Saccharomyces cerevisiae S288C: one gene and its partner. The protein of the gene in region 2 purifies or fractionates together with the protein of the main gene of each other region. This does not show direct contact. Each region holds a gene or a part of one and is shown on either strand. Other genes may lie near its edges.

What was found. The genes of interacting proteins can lie anywhere in the genome.
Region 1: the proteins of AAN1 (region 2) and IBD2 purify together in Saccharomyces cerevisiae (affinity purification with mass spectrometry, with the first as the bait; 2 studies listed by BioGRID). This does not show direct contact.

Annotation. Positions count from the first base shown.
Region 1 is NC_001146.8:323,357-331,294, reverse strand, and holds IBD2 (Ibd2p), read left to right. Parts: upstream 1-4,974; coding exon 4,975-6,030; downstream 6,031-7,938. Other genes in the region: YNL162W-A (uncharacterized protein), read right to left, coding at 748-966; GTPase RIA1, read left to right, coding at 1,222-4,554; YNL165W (uncharacterized protein), read right to left, coding at 6,243-7,463; BNI5 (Bni5p), read left to right, coding at 7,730-7,938. UniProt on the Saccharomyces cerevisiae protein: Part of a checkpoint which monitors spindle integrity and prevents premature exit from mitosis. This cell-cycle arrest depends upon inhibition of the G-protein TEM1 by the BFA1/BUB2 complex.
Region 2 is NC_001143.9:288,432-296,379, reverse strand, and holds AAN1 (Aan1p), read left to right. Parts: upstream 1-2,071; coding exon 2,072-3,424; downstream 3,425-7,948. Other genes in the region: MUD2 (Mud2p), read left to right, coding at 187-1,770; PSG1 (Psg1p), read right to left, coding at 3,749-4,927; DHR2 (RNA helicase), read right to left, coding at 5,328-7,535; SMY1 (Smy1p), read right to left, coding at 7,807-7,948.

The sequences.
Region 1 (7,938 bases), on a different chromosome or scaffold from region 2:
ATTAAGGATTAGATTTCAAGATGCATTTGGACCACTTAATGGTGCTATTATCTGCCTCCTTCGCGCTCATGTACTAGCCCTTCGAAGGTAGATTGAACCGCCTTTCCCGGGCAAAAGAGAAGGTTGCGCTATTTCCTGTGACCCAATCACTCTGCGGGCCAGCTGCTGTAACCTTCCTACTGGTCCGGCCTATTGGCACTAGACAAAGCTCCCTTCCCTGGCAGGATCAGTCCTGGCGTTAGGCGGAATTCAGGTGTTAAATGTCCGCAAGAGAAAAAATAGATAAATAAAAAAAAAGTATAACTCGAAGTAAATGTCTAGGTTTTACTTTAGATGTAAGGATGTAAGATCTCTGAATGTAGGACAGCATTTGGTAGAAAACTGTTATTATATGCCGATATGACAGCTACATATTTGCTATTTGTCACTGCGGTTTGGCGTTCCAAAACGCATTAGTCTATATTGGTGATGAATAATTGACAAGTTTTAATGCCAAAGCTAGACAAGTTATTACACACTTTTTAGTTTTCCTTGTACGAACTTTTTTGGGTTTCACATAGAAAGTAGATTATTCGTAAAAACCGGATACTTGATCTTCACTCTTTGAGACCTTTAATTATGTCGCTTCTTTTATGTTAATTTCAACTATCATGTTATTGCTCTTTATATTGTTATCGCTCATATTTGACTCTGCAATGGCGTTACTAGGGATAATGAAAGATAATGAACAGCAATAGTGCAACTATTTTATGGTTTGCTTCGTGAAGATAATCTTTTTTTTGCAACTTTTAAGACGTCATTATCGTCTACATACGTTAGATTTTCGAGTACTTCTCTTTGATTGAATGGGTAGCCGCAGACTAAGCTGGGACATATTATAATGGCATAATTTTGCTGTACTAAACACTTTTGAAGTCTTTCATTGCAATTTGGACAAAATACTTGGGAGTCGGGCTTATCAGACATCTTTTAATGACGTGTTCGTTTGTATGTAGTTTTGGTATACTGGATATTCGATATATTGTAAAGTGGAATTTTCAGCTCATCGCTTCCTTTTTCTTTTTCCTACGAGAAAAGAAATTTTGAAAAATGGGAACTTAAGAGCCAAGAATATTGATAGATAGGTGCACCCGAAATACAATCTTTGTACATCATCAAGATTATCAAAATAGTTTATAAAATAACCAAACTCAGTTATTTTTCTAAGCACGATAAGCAAATATGCCTAGAGTGGAATCGGAGACTTACAAACGTCTGCAAAATGACCCTTCCTGTATAAGAAATATATGTATTGTTGCTCATGTTGATCACGGTAAAACTTCACTTTCAGATTCTCTTTTGGCTTCGAATGGTATTATATCACAAAGGCTTGCCGGCAAAATTCGATTCTTAGATGCCAGGCCTGACGAACAACTACGTGGTATCACAATGGAATCATCGGCTATCTCTTTATATTTTAGGGTATTGCGTAAACAAGAAGGTTCCGATGAGCCTCTTGTAAGCGAGCATCTAGTAAACTTAATTGATTCCCCAGGTCACATTGATTTTTCAAGTGAGGTCAGTGCAGCTTCAAGACTATGTGATGGTGCTGTCGTACTGGTTGATGTCGTAGAGGGGGTATGCTCGCAAACCGTCACAGTGTTGAGACAATGTTGGACGGAGAAGCTGAAGCCCATTTTAGTATTGAATAAGATTGATAGATTGATCACAGAACTACAACTAACTCCCCAAGAAGCTTATATTCACTTGTCCAAAGTCATTGAACAAGTCAACTCAGTTATCGGGTCCTTTTTCGCAAACGAGAGACAATTGGATGATTTATTTTGGAGGGAGCAATTAGAAAAGAACGAAAACGCGGAATATATTGAAAAGGATGATTCGGGTATTTACTTTAACCCTACTGATAACAACGTTATTTTTGCTTCCGCAATTGATGGTTGGGGTTTCAACATCGGTCAATTGGCCAAATTTTACGAACAAAAATTAGGCGCTAAAAGGGAAAACCTACAGAAAGTTTTATGGGGTGATTTCTATATGGATCCCAAGACAAAAAAAATTATTAACAATAAAGGCCTTAAGGGAAGATCCCTGAAACCCCTTTTCACATCGCTAATCCTCGAAAATATATGGAAAATTTATCAAAACATAATCACATCGAGAGATTCTGAAATGGTCGAAAAAATAGCAAAAACTTTAAATATTAAGCTACTTGCACGTGATCTAAGGTCGAAGGACGATAAACAATTGTTAAGAACTATCATGGGTCAATGGCTACCCGTCAGCACAGCAGTATTGTTAACAGTTATTGAAAAATTACCTTCACCTTTGGAATCACAAACCGATCGTTTGAACACTATTTTGGTCTCCGAATCCGACACAGCAGCCATGGATCCAAGACTTCTGAAAGCCATGAAGACATGTGATAAAGAAGGACCAGTTAGTGCATACGTATCTAAGATGCTTTCAATTCCTAGAGAAGAATTACCTGTTGAATCTAAGAGGATAGCATCTTCGGATGAGCTGATGGAGAGAAGTAGAAAGGCACGTGAGGAAGCACTTAATGCTGCAAAACATGCTGGTATGGTAGAAAATATGGCAATGATGGATTTGAATGACAATTCTAAAAATACATCAGATTTATATAAAAGAGCAAAAGATACCGTTATGACCCCCGAAGTAGGAGAACAGACAAAGCCAAAACCTTCAAGAAATAATGATGTTTTCTGTGTTGTTTCAGAGCCTTCTTCCGCCTTGGATTTAGAATTTGAATATGAGGGGGAGGATGATTCAGATAGTCAAGATAACTTCGGCCTAGATTTTGTACCAACTGACATAGATCCAAATGACCCTCTAAGTTCAATGTTTGAATATGAGGAAGAAGATCCACTTTTGGAGAGTATTAAGCAAATTTCAGAGGATGTGAACGATGAAGTAGATGATATTTTTGACGAAAAGGAAGAATGCTTGGTAGCATTTGCAAGAATATACAGTGGCACACTAAGAGTTGGTCAGGAGATTTCGGTATTGGGTCCAAAATATGATCCAAAATGTCCAGAGGAGCATATTGAAACTGCGATTATTACGCATTTATATTTGTTTATGGGTAAGGAATTGGTTCCTTTGGACGTTTGTCCATCAGGAAATATAGTCGGTATTCGTGGTCTGGCCGGTAAAGTTTTAAAGAGTGGTACGTTGATAGAGAAGGGCGTACAAGGCGTCAATCTAGCGGGCGTCAATTTCCATTTTACGCCAATCGTTCGTGTTGCTGTGGAGCCAGCCAATCCTGTGGAAATGAGCAAGTTGGTACGAGGATTAAAGTTGTTGGATCAAGCAGATCCTTGCGTGCACACATACGTTGAAAATACTGGTGAACACATTCTGTGTACGGCCGGTGAATTACATTTAGAAAGATGCCTAAAAGATTTAACAGAGAGATTTGCAGGAATAGAAATTACACATTCTGAACCGGCTATTCCATATAGGGAAACATTTTTATCAGCCTCAGATATGAATCCACCGCAGAATTCACAGCTGGGAAGGGGTGTTCATGAACTACTATTGAGCCAGTACAAGATTACATTCAGAACGTTCCCATTAAGCGGTAAAGTTACAGACTTTTTATCTCAACATCAAAATAGCATTAAAAACATTTTGAAGACGTCCACTTCAAGCATGGATCCCGTCATAGAATCAACTGGAAGTTCTTTTCTAGACAAAAAGTCTTTACTCGTTGCTTTTGAAGAGGTCATAAATCAGGAGGAGAAGAGCAGAGAACTATTAAGTGGGTTTAAAGTAAAGTTAGCAGGTTTTGGGCCAAGTAGAGTTGGGTGCAACATTTTGCTGTCGCAGGATAATCTTCTTGGAAGCCTATTTGAAGGTACTCCAGCAGCCTTTGAGTATTCAGATTCCATCAAAAATGGCTTCCAACTGGCTGTTAGCGAAGGACCTCTGGCAAATGAGCCCGTACAGGGAATGTGTGTTCTTGTTGAAAGCGTACATAAGATGTCACAAGACGAAATTGAATCTATTGAAGATCCGCGCTACCAACAACATATTGTGGACTTATCAGGGAGGTTGATAACTTCTACAAGGGACGCTATACATGAGGCCTTTTTAGACTGGTCCCCAAGAATTATGTGGGCAATTTACTCATGTGATATTCAAACCTCTGTCGATGTACTTGGAAAAGTGTATGCCGTTATTCTACAGAGGCATGGTAAAATCATTTCTGAAGAAATGAAAGAAGGTACACCGTTTTTTCAAATTGAGGCACATGTGCCCGTTGTGGAAGCATTCGGTTTAAGTGAAGATATTCGTAAACGAACATCTGGTGCAGCACAACCTCAATTGGTATTTTCCGGATTCGAGTGTATCGATTTAGATCCATTTTGGGTCCCAACCACAGAAGAAGAATTGGAGGAACTAGGTGATACAGCAGATAGAGAGAATATTGCCCGTAAGCATATGAATGCCATCAGAAGAAGGAAAGGTCTATTCATTGAAGAAAAAGTTGTCGAAAATGCCGAAAAACAACGTACTTTGAAAAAGAATTAAGGTTTTTTAGGGTTTATATGAATCATAGACTAATATAGATAGTTTTCACTAGTTGAAAATATATATAAATATATGTATGTATGTATGTATATTCACTTGAATATGAGATGAAATAGCACAGTTTTCAAGCATTTCCAGTCTTACGTATTCTATGATATACTACATACTCTCGCGCGAGTGAATGTTTTAGCGATGGGACAAGAAAGTTGAGATGATCTGGACGATGAGAATGGCAAAATAAGCGAGAGCTACAGCAAGAACTACAGATTGCACTTTTTGCATATACCCTGAATAGGAATTTCTTTGCTAAATATTTGGTAATTTGTTATCCATATTTACTGATATCGTGCTTCTTACGACGAATTTATAGCTTTAATCATATTCTCTTCTCTTCTATTTTCATGCCATATCATCAAGAAAATGACACCTACAAACCAATCTAGTGGAACGACTAATGCATCTGTGGAGGTACTTTCAGAGGATGGACCTATGCCAATAAACGTTATGATGCAAGAAGGTGTGAAAGCGCTGACTAAAATTCTTTCCAATCAGCTTCAAGACAGACAAGCTTTTCAAAACGCTCCTCATGCAATGCAATTCGTTATAAGAAATGGAGGAAAAGCTTTATCAAATGCACGGTTAGAAGAGCTCAAAGATGCTCTTCCTAAGATGGACTCGTTGAGTTTGGAAGATGAACTTGCGAAAATAGATGGCCAAAGTGCATACCACATTGATTCCGCAGAGGAAAAGGAAACCTTTGAAAGTAAAATAGGCCAAATAGCTTCTAGAAATAGTGCAGACTTCATAATAGAGGAGGACTTGCAAAATATTTTAGATGATGATCTTAAAGACTCAGAACTTAACTTGGATGGCGAAGAAGCCGAAATAATTTTCGATTATGAGAGCCAAGAACTGGATACACCGGATGGTATAGGGGAAAAGATTTCTCAAATGATAGAATCGGTGTTACCGGGAGGGTTTGGAAGTGAAGAACAGGGGGGGTTGCGAACTGTAACAAATGTAGAGGATTTAGATGTTGCAGAAGAAGTCACAGATATCGATCATGATACCGTTGACGCAGCTCGTTTGCATGGAGACGGTCAACATTCCATATCTTCTAGAAAGCACAGCAGGTCAAAGAACTCGAAAAAGAATGGGCATGTAAGGCGACATGACTTTTATGACGAATCTAGAGACCATAAAAGTTGTTGCCCGCATCATCATTATGAAAACTTATCCAAACTACGAAACTACTATTATCATGATTTTGAATATATTTCCAGAACGGAAAACCGTGTTCCAGATTTCTCTGTCCTAGTTAACGAATCAAGTCCCATGTGTTTATTTTGCGAGTACTACATGGTGTTTGGTGAACCACCACGTAACATGATAAAGTGGTATAATCGTACGTTTGGTTACAATCGTATGCCGAATCCACCAAGAGATGAACAAGATAGTAGGAAAAGGAATAGATAGTCAACATTATTACTGTAGGAATAAAGTAGTATAGGGAACATTACATAATAGAGGAAAACTTGTGAGGAAAACTTGTGACATTCTAAACGTATTTAAGAGTTATTGAAAAATTAATGGTGTACGACAATATTTCTCTTTGAATATTTATATGCTTCTTAGCGGTATTATGACTAAATAGTAACAGGAAAAAACACAAGTAAATGCAAATGGGTTTACATCAGTAATCCTGCCGGTCCATTTAGCATATATGTGGTCGAGCTGCCCCATGCGGTGTGGCGTTTCTCCTTTCTTGATTCATATTCATGTAATAGCATGCACATGCAAGTAAGTATCTGACTATCCCACGGCACATTTTCAATGATATTAGAGCCCATTTCAGTATAATTGGTAGATGTTAAACTAGAGCCATCATCAAACGAATCAGTTTCTTGTAAGTACAAGGTAGCTACTCTCAAAGTTCTTTTTTTCGGTATGACACTAACTTTATCATCTGTGTATCTGGCCCATACTGGGAGATAACCCAGCGGTCTTGTGGGACGGGAACGGCTGTAAGAATCAAACTCTTCAATAGTTTGTTGGTTCATGTAGGATGCCATCGTATCATCGAGTACAAGTAGGTTGATGCTATTTGAGCCAAAAGGTGAAGCTAAACTAGTTGTCCCGTACCAACGAAGATTTAATCCATGAATTGCCGTATCCGCATTTTTCCTTTGATTGTAATTAATCATGGGGATATGAACATCAGGTTCATCTTTTCTATGAAATATAAAATCGTGCTCTACCCTGCTCGAAAAATTATGGCTTTCCATTTTTTTTAGAATAGTGCAGAATTCATATTTATATATGGAGACATTTTCGTTTATTCGAGAGACCACTTCTGAGTTTAATGGAGGTTTATCGCATTGGGAGTCTATCATAACGTATTTATATATCCTCATTACCGGTGTATTTTGATCACTGAAAAGCGACTTGACCAGGTTTAAAGAAATGGCGTGAAATAGGGGAAGTCCTAGACCCCTCTTTGGATCAATGTTATCGAGCTTCCTCTTGTTGTGTAAAAATAGCTGGAGAGATTCTTCACTGGGGAATGCAAAAAACCCTCGTTGTAGTAGCACCGAAACGAATGGCATGGCTCTTTCTGACGTGAATCTTGGGGCTCTGTTAACATAACCCTGTCTTTGTAGGTCTCCAATTGTTGAGCCTTCTGATACCGCTGTATTCAAAGTAGCTGCATCCGCACTATCATCGCCCTCGTTGGCAGAGGTTTCCAGAGATTCATTTTCTCGTGCAAATATTGTAGATTGGTCGTCTCCATAACCATTAGCTCCCAAGAGATTGACGGTGGATGGAGACCCACTGTGAGGATACGGAGGATGTTGGCGATTATGTCGGCGTCCCCGGCGATTTCCAATCAAAGAGCGTACTCTATCCATGCGGATCTTTGGCAAATGTATGTAGCACTTCTCCTATCGTTCAATTTGATGCTCTTTCTTTTCCAAAAGCCTTACTTGTTCTTCTTCTTCACTAGTAGTGAAGGGCTTTAGAGATGCCCAGAACCCAGACCATTTTAGACGCGTTATGAAATAAATATTGCGCTGAAAATTCAAACTTCATAATAAACAAAAATCATTAATAGTTTTGTAATTTGATTTACTGTTATGGTGATGCTATGTTAGTGTGAAATAGAACAACAGAAACGATGGGCTTGGACCAGGACAAGATAAAGAAGAGGCTTTCTCAAATAGAGATAGATATCAACCAGATGAACCAGATGATTGACGAAAATTTACAATTAGTTGAACCTGCGGAGGACGAAGCTGTCGAAGATAATGTCAAGGATACGGGTGTGGTCGACGCTGTAAAGGTGGCAGAAACGGCTCTTTTTAGTGGCAATGATGGAGCGGATAG
Region 2 (7,948 bases):
GATACTGTTAATATTACGCTGTAGAATGGATCACTTTTATAACAGCGTGTTCGATATTATATATTTGAGGCGCGCGCCTAATTAGCAAGTGCTGAAAAAATTCGAGATGAGAAATTAAACTGTACATGCTAATATAAAAGAAGTAGAAAAGGAAAGTTAATTGACACAGAAAACAAGCACACGGAGATGGCTGATGAAAAGAGACTGGAGGATTTGAGATCCAAAATAATGGAGTCTATAGGAAAATCAGAAAAGGATGTTGTGCCGATTGAGAACAAAAGATTCAACACGGATAATGCAGTTATAGATACACATTTTAAGAGGCAAAAAAGTGACGGTGAGCTTCCGAAAGCGCCAAAAAGTAGAAACGTTTCACATTCTAATAACAGAGGACCATCGTCAATAATTACTATGAGCACGAATCGAACGACTTATGAACAAACAAGGGCAGGTCCTCATCGTCAAAGTTATCGGGATGCATCGGGAAGATCATATAACAGGGAGAATCGGTATAGTAGTCACAATACTGGGCCCCAATGGAACAACAATCCCTATAATAGGCAACGGGATGAAAGAAGAGGAAGAAATGAAAGGTTCGATAGAAGGGGAAGAAATGGAAACGGAAACTACGATCGTTTCAATTACCAAAGGAAGAACGAAGGTTCTAAATTCAATGGCGACCGTGATAAAAGGCAGTTGCAAACTAATAAATATGACATGAACTATAATTCCCAAAATGTAATGTACCCGGGTTCATCATTCGATTCTCCGGCTTACTACAACATGGCCTCATCCAAGGCAAATTCAAGGCTTGTAATTTCGGGCTTGTCTCAAAGCAGCGACCCCAGCATTGTAGCAAGATTGAAAGATTTGCTGGAAAATTTTATTTCAGGTCTCCAGAAAACTGAGAGTAATGCGGAGGACTTTAAAATTTCCAACTTTTATATTGGTGAAGGAAGGCCGGACCATATTATTGTTGAGTTTAGTTCTCAGATCTGTAGCACTATGGTTTTGGCCTGTCGATCATTCTTTAATGCGAAGCTTGGTACTTTCGACTTAAAATGGAGAAGACCTAATGATTATGTTCAACAACTTGATCATCTGGTCGATTTTTGCAGGGGTACGGTAATTGCATTGGAAAATTTGGAAAATATAGGCGAGGGTGAAGATTATAGAATGAAAGAGCTTTTTTCGTCATTGAATGTAACAAACGGTACCGCTAAGCCACTTTTTTACAAATGTTCGTCCAATACAAACAACACTGGCAAAGAATCCGAATTCACTAAATGTATTCTATTATCGTTTGAAGTCGTCACTCAGGATATTCTTGATAAATTAAAACCATACAAATGGTTCAAGCCAAATGATGGAAAGATATCACAAGTTACTTCATGGATTACGTTTCAAAGCCTGCCAAATCTGGTTACCCAATCTGTTCGTGTTGAATCGAGAGTTTTGTTGCTCTTAAATTGTCTTGATCCATTGGATTTGAAAGATGAAACCTTTATCACAGAAATTAAAGAAACATTAAAGTATAGTATCGCGGGAGCAGATACGATTAAAATATGCCAACCCGGCGTCGATTACAGACTTAATTTTGAAAACTTGGCTTCCGGAGCCGGTAATATTTATATCAAGTTCAAGACCTTGGAGGCAGCAAAACACGCAATGGAAGAATTGCCGGGTACGCAATTCAACGATCGCACTGTTCTGTGTACTTATATAGATGAGGACGACTTTGACATGATGGAAGCAACCCAACTTTCCTAAATGGTCTATTTTGTAGAGCGAAATTAAGTAAAGAATTGAGTATTCATTATGTAGATCTAATCTTTAACGCAGTGAAAAAAGTCCTCGTTTTTGGTGACTTTTTTTGTACAATTACTTTTTTGAAATATAACGAAAGTTAGCAGATTGACTACTAACTTGCGATCTGGAAAATTAAGAGAATTCAAACTTTTTTTGTTGCATGGGTCAATAATCATCATTAGAGCTTGCCTTGATCAATTTCCTTCACATTTTTGGAATAACTAACATTATAAATCAAGCCTAGTATAGCGCGCCAAAGAAGATGGCTAAAGATTTATTGCCCAAGCAAGCGGCCAACGAGCCATCGTTAAAGGACTGTACCTGTAAAAGATGTCTTAAATTGGGTGCTTCAAAAGAAAAAAAGATTAGAAGAAAGAAGAAAGGTGAGGAGAAAAGAGAAAGACATTATGGAAATAGACGAAAGTTAACATTCAACTTTTTGAAGCATACGAACATGGAAAATACAAATTACGACGTAATCACTTCGGTTGGATATCTGAATGAAAAATACGGATTGAAAAAATCACATTACATTGAAAAATTTATCAAATGCATCCATAGAAAAATAAATATCGATGTTAGCAAAATTACGGACGCCTATGTAAACTCGCTAAACCCGTGGGTTAAAGTAAAACTCTTCCTTTTATTGGTGACATTGTCTGAAAAGGGTGGTCCGGAATACTGGCTAGATAAGACAGATGGTGAAAAGAACTCAGAGGCGTCTTCAACAGATAATAGTTTGGAAAATTCTACTAAAGGAGCAGATAGCGCTGGATCTACTGCTTTGAGAGATGAAATGGTCAAAAGCCATAAAAACCTTTTCCCAACTCTTACAGAGCAAATCATACAGCATAACATCAACCAAGATTTTACGGAATCGACTTACGACGAGGATTATGTATTTTCGTCAATTTGGGCAAACTTCATGGAAGGACTGATCAATCACTATTTGGAAAAAGTCATTGTACCTTACTCGGAAATGAAAGTCTGTCAGCAATTATACAAGCCTATGATGAAAATTATCTCCCTCTATAACGAATACAATGAGCTTATGGTCAAAAGCGAAAAGAACGGATTCTTGCCTTCTCTACAAGACTCCGAAAATGTCCAAGGTGATAAAGGCGAAAAAGAGAGCAAGGATGATGCCGTTAGCCAAGAAAGACTGGAAAGAGCGCAAAAGCTGTTATGGCAAGCTCGAGAAGATATTCCAAAAACAATTAGCAAAGAATTAACGTTGTTATCAGAAATGTATTCTACATTATCTGCTGATGAGCAAGATTACGAATTAGATGAATTTGTTTGTTGCGCAGAGGAGTACATTGAATTGGAATACCTACCTGCCCTTGTAGATGTCTTGTTTGCTAATTGTGGCACGAACAACTTCTGGAAAATTATGTTGGTGTTGGAACCCTTTTTCTACTACATTGAAGACGTCGGCGGAGATGATGATGAAGATGAAGATAATGTGGACAATAGCGAGGGCGACGAAGAAAGCTTACTTAGCAGGAATGTGGAAGGAGATGATAATGTGGTTGAGCGTCATTTTAAGCCTGATCCAAGGGTCATTACACTGGAAAAAATATGTGAAGTTGCTGCAAGACAGAAATGGATATAAGGAGAAATCAAAGGAAAAGAAGCAAGATCCAGCGTTTTCTTTTGAACCCTGGAGGATGCTGATGCATTCTCTATTTATTTGGTATCAAATTGTCGTACAGATGATTTATATATGTTAATATTGTTCAGTTTACACTAATTTTAATTTACCGTATTTACTATCCAAAGGAGAAAAAAAGAAGTATATGGACTTCAGTATTTATACAATATCGAGTTAAGATAAGTTAAGTAACAAAAAAAACTGGATAGAGTGGTTTTCTATTAGTGTGACGGAAGATAAAAACAGCCCTCTCGAGGAAGGGTGAATGCATACTTCGAAGGGAATCTAATTTTGTTTACTGGTTTTCTTATAAGATGGCAATTCGGTGTACTTGTGATTTTTCATGTTTTTGAATTTCTTCATCTCCGAGAACTTACCCAAAACACGGCGTTTCTTGTTTAAAGCTTTTCTAGTAACATCTGTGAAATCTCTGTTTTTCCCGTTGACATATAAGAAAAAGTACATGAAGACGAAAAATACCACCACGACAGTAGGGATAGATAATGCAACATAATACCACTGATCATTTGTTATACCTGCATCGTCTAAAGCCAGTTGCTCCTTAGTAGGCTTAAACACTTTTGAACCCTTAGTGATGTATAATAAAATACCGTATTGTAGTGGATCGAAATCTTCATCTGATATGTATATTGGCTGAACTGATACAACGATCCTACGATCAAATTGGTCCTGCAGCCATTCATCTCTGACCTCAACCGGCATTAGACCGTTGTCATTATCAATCCATTCGGAAGAGAAAAAAGTTGCAGGGATATCTCTTTTATAATTGCCCTTCTCTACGGGGTTTTCTTTAACATAGGACAAATGAACACGAACCTTATCAGCAACTTTACCGGAATTCTCATCTGTAAAAAATCTTGTATACCAAGTAACGAAGTAAGTCTTGTCAACCTTCCATCTAGAATTCTCATAAGGGGTACAAAATGGCTCACTGCGGATATCCTTTGCTAGACCTTTATTGAAGTAAAGATTAGGAGTACATCTGACAATAGGATTCAGGGAGACGTAGGTGTCATCTTCATCAATATACTCTTCTTCTACAAAAACTTCATTAGGGCCCATATTGTGAGCCTTCAATTCTTCATAAGAATATGTGTGGGAACTTACCGTTTTGAAGTAAGTTGAGTAATCAGGTCTTCCCTTCTTGGTTCGACCTTTGTTGATTTCTGGTTTAATGGTTTTTGGCCTACCATCATGCTCTAAAGATACCCAAGGTTTCAATGGATTTGGTGTTTCTTCTGGTTTTTCAGAAAAAGTGACACCGGCAATGACCGTAGGAGTGACTAATTCTTTTTGACTTCCATAAACCGTACGTAACCAAGGTTTAACTTCTTCTGAAGTAGTCATTTTCTCCTTTGGACGAACGACTTGTCTTGCACCATGAACATGTTGATAAAGCGATGCCAAAGAAAAGAAGATAAGTATACTATCGTGAAATCTCATTATTCCGCAATTCCTTCAGATCCCGCAGAACTGCTTCCGACTATATTGTCTTAACCTTTTTGCTAAAATATTTTGTTCTTCAAAAGTAAAGAATAGCTTGCTGAGAGAAATGCGTCGAATTGCCTTTCTTATTTTTTTCATGATCTTTTATTCCTTTTCAAAATGTCAACGGCAAAATAATATAATTTCGCCCTTTTCCCGAGATAATTTCACAAAAAAAGCCAACGAACAATTCGAAAGGCGTTTAACATGAATATACATATATACCTGTGTATATTCATAAGATATTGAGAAATGAATCCATGAAACTCATACTGCAGTAGTTGTTACGATTTATAATGCTCTATAAATTACATTAAATGCCTTTATATACAATAAAAATGCGCTAAGAGTAGGTGACTTATTTTGAATCAGAAACTTTTTGCTTTGCTACAGCGGCTGCATTAGTGACAACTTCTTGTAACCATGAAAGTTCAATCCTACTAACATTTCTGGCATATCCCTTCGTAGTAAAGACATACTCCGTGTACATTATACCGGGGCAGCTTTTATTCATAAATAGCATAGATGATGGATGAATGCTTATCGGCTCTCCAGTGGAAACAGTTCTATAAGACCTGTCTGGCATCCCTATAGCTGTATTCTTGATAAACCCAGTTAAGAAACACTTTAAAATTTTCGAAATTAGCTCGCCATCTTCACCAATCTTTTTGGATTCTTCATCCTCTTCACTGATTGAAGAAAACAAACGCTTACAATAAACTCTTAACTGGTCTCTGACACGAATTACATTTTTAAACCCACGTATCGAAATACACAATCCTTTACACCAATCATTTCTTTCAGAGCTTGCATCTTGACTTTTCCCTAGTTCGTAGAAATAGATATCAAAAAGCTCTTTCAGCATGATAAGGTCACCATACCTTTTACCAGCGTTGCATAAGGACAAACGACGCTCGTTCACCTCATCTCTTTCTTCTGGTGACGGATTCAACAGTAAATTTTCCACACTAAGGCAAGAGACGATATCAATGACCTGACTCAAACATCCGACTTCACTGGCTTTAATTAAGACACTACTTAAATGCGGTTGTAGCGGTAACAGAGCCATTTGTTGACCCCGTTTAGTTATCTTTCCACGAGTGTCAAGAGCACCCAATTCATAAAGTTCCTGAAGCCCCATTACTATAGCTTCCTTTCCAGGGTTCTCAAACCAGGTCCAGTTTAGCAGGTCATCAACACCATATCTCTTCAACATTAACACAGGAGATGTGACGTCACTTCTGGCTATTTCAGGTTCACTTTGTTTAGGTAATTTCACATAATCAGACTCACAATAAAGCCTGAAACTCTTTCCTTCACTTTCTCTACCAGCACGACCACTTCTCTGCATCGCACTTGCCTGAGAAATGGGTACGGTAAGTAGAGTGGCTAATCCCAGCTGATGTCTCCAAACTTTGACTTTTCGAAGACCAGAATCAACGACAAATTTAACACCGGATATGGTAACAGATGTTTCTGCAATATTGGTACTAAAGACGACTTTTCTCTTGAAACCCTTTATCGGAGCGAAGACCAAGGACTGTTGGACCGCGGGAAGAGCTGCATATAAAGGATAAGGAACTATTAATGGTACTGGGGCCTCATCTGAAACATACTTTGCAATTTTCTCCATTATAGTCACTGCTTTGTCAATCTCTTCTTGGCCCGGTAAAAAACATAAGATATCTCCCAGTTCTTCACCTTGGTTTATTTGTATACAACACCTGATGACAGCGTCTACTATATCATCTGTTGGCGCCTTCAAGTAGTATTGTTTGACATCAAATTTTCTTCCTTCTACAAATAAGATTGGGGCATTATTGAAGAACTCACTAAATTTTTCGGCTTGCAATGTTGCAGACATAACAATTATTCTCAAATCAGGTCTTGGCCCTTGTATCAAGGATTTTAAGAACCCCAATATCAAATCTGTAAGCACAGTTCTTTCATGCGCTTCATCGATAACGATGACGCTGTATTCTCTAAGGTCACTATTCATCATAAGTTCTCTAAGTAACATACCGTCAGTCAGATACTTAAGTCTTGTTCTTGTAGTAGTCGTATTGTCAAATCTGACAGAATAACCTACTTGTTCACCCAGTTTGCAACCATGTTCTTGAGCAACACGTGTAGCCAAATTGATGGCCGCAACACGACGGGGTTGAGTTACAGCAATCGACCCATGCTTCTTCGTATCATATAATTTTTCTAATACGAATTGCGGAATTTGTGTTGATTTACCAGAACCTGTTTCACCAATAAGGACGGTAACGGGATTGCTTTCAATATATGACATTATTTCTCGCTTGTGTTGGTAAACGGGAAGTGTTTCTCTCATTTTGAGTAAATCGCTTGCCCGACTTTTCAAAGATTTATAAGTAAGGACATTTTCCTTGTTCGAACGTTGGTCTGAAACATGGTCGCCCTCGCCTGAATCATTAAACTTTACGATTTTACTAGCTCTTTTAATCCGAGTGTTATTCGTGAATGGATGTATATTCCTCCTAACCTTTTGTTTTTTAGAAGTATGGTTTGATGCAACTCTACTATTGCTATTTGCTGCCATGATAATGTCTGCAGACTCTTGCAACCTCTTCTTGAGGAATTCTTACATATATATCATAACCTCATCTCATCTCATCGAGCAGAATTTTTTATTTTCAATTTTTCTCATTTTTCCAAATCATTGTAAACGAATAGCCGCCGAAGAAAAACGGTAGAAGAAAAGTACATCTTTCAGTCAGCATTATACGTACAAATTATTAGCGTTATCATCATGATTATAATTACAAAGATACTACACAGTTGTATCGTACAATTATCGAACTTAATTATAGTCAGCTTCCAGAAGAGGGACTTTTTGGAGTACTCGAAGTGACTTTTATCGAATGGAGGTTTAATCCCTTCTTGAACGGTCTTGCCACAAAAGACTCCTGTGATCCAGTGGTTGCTATACTGCTAGAAGAAACCTTTCTCGCG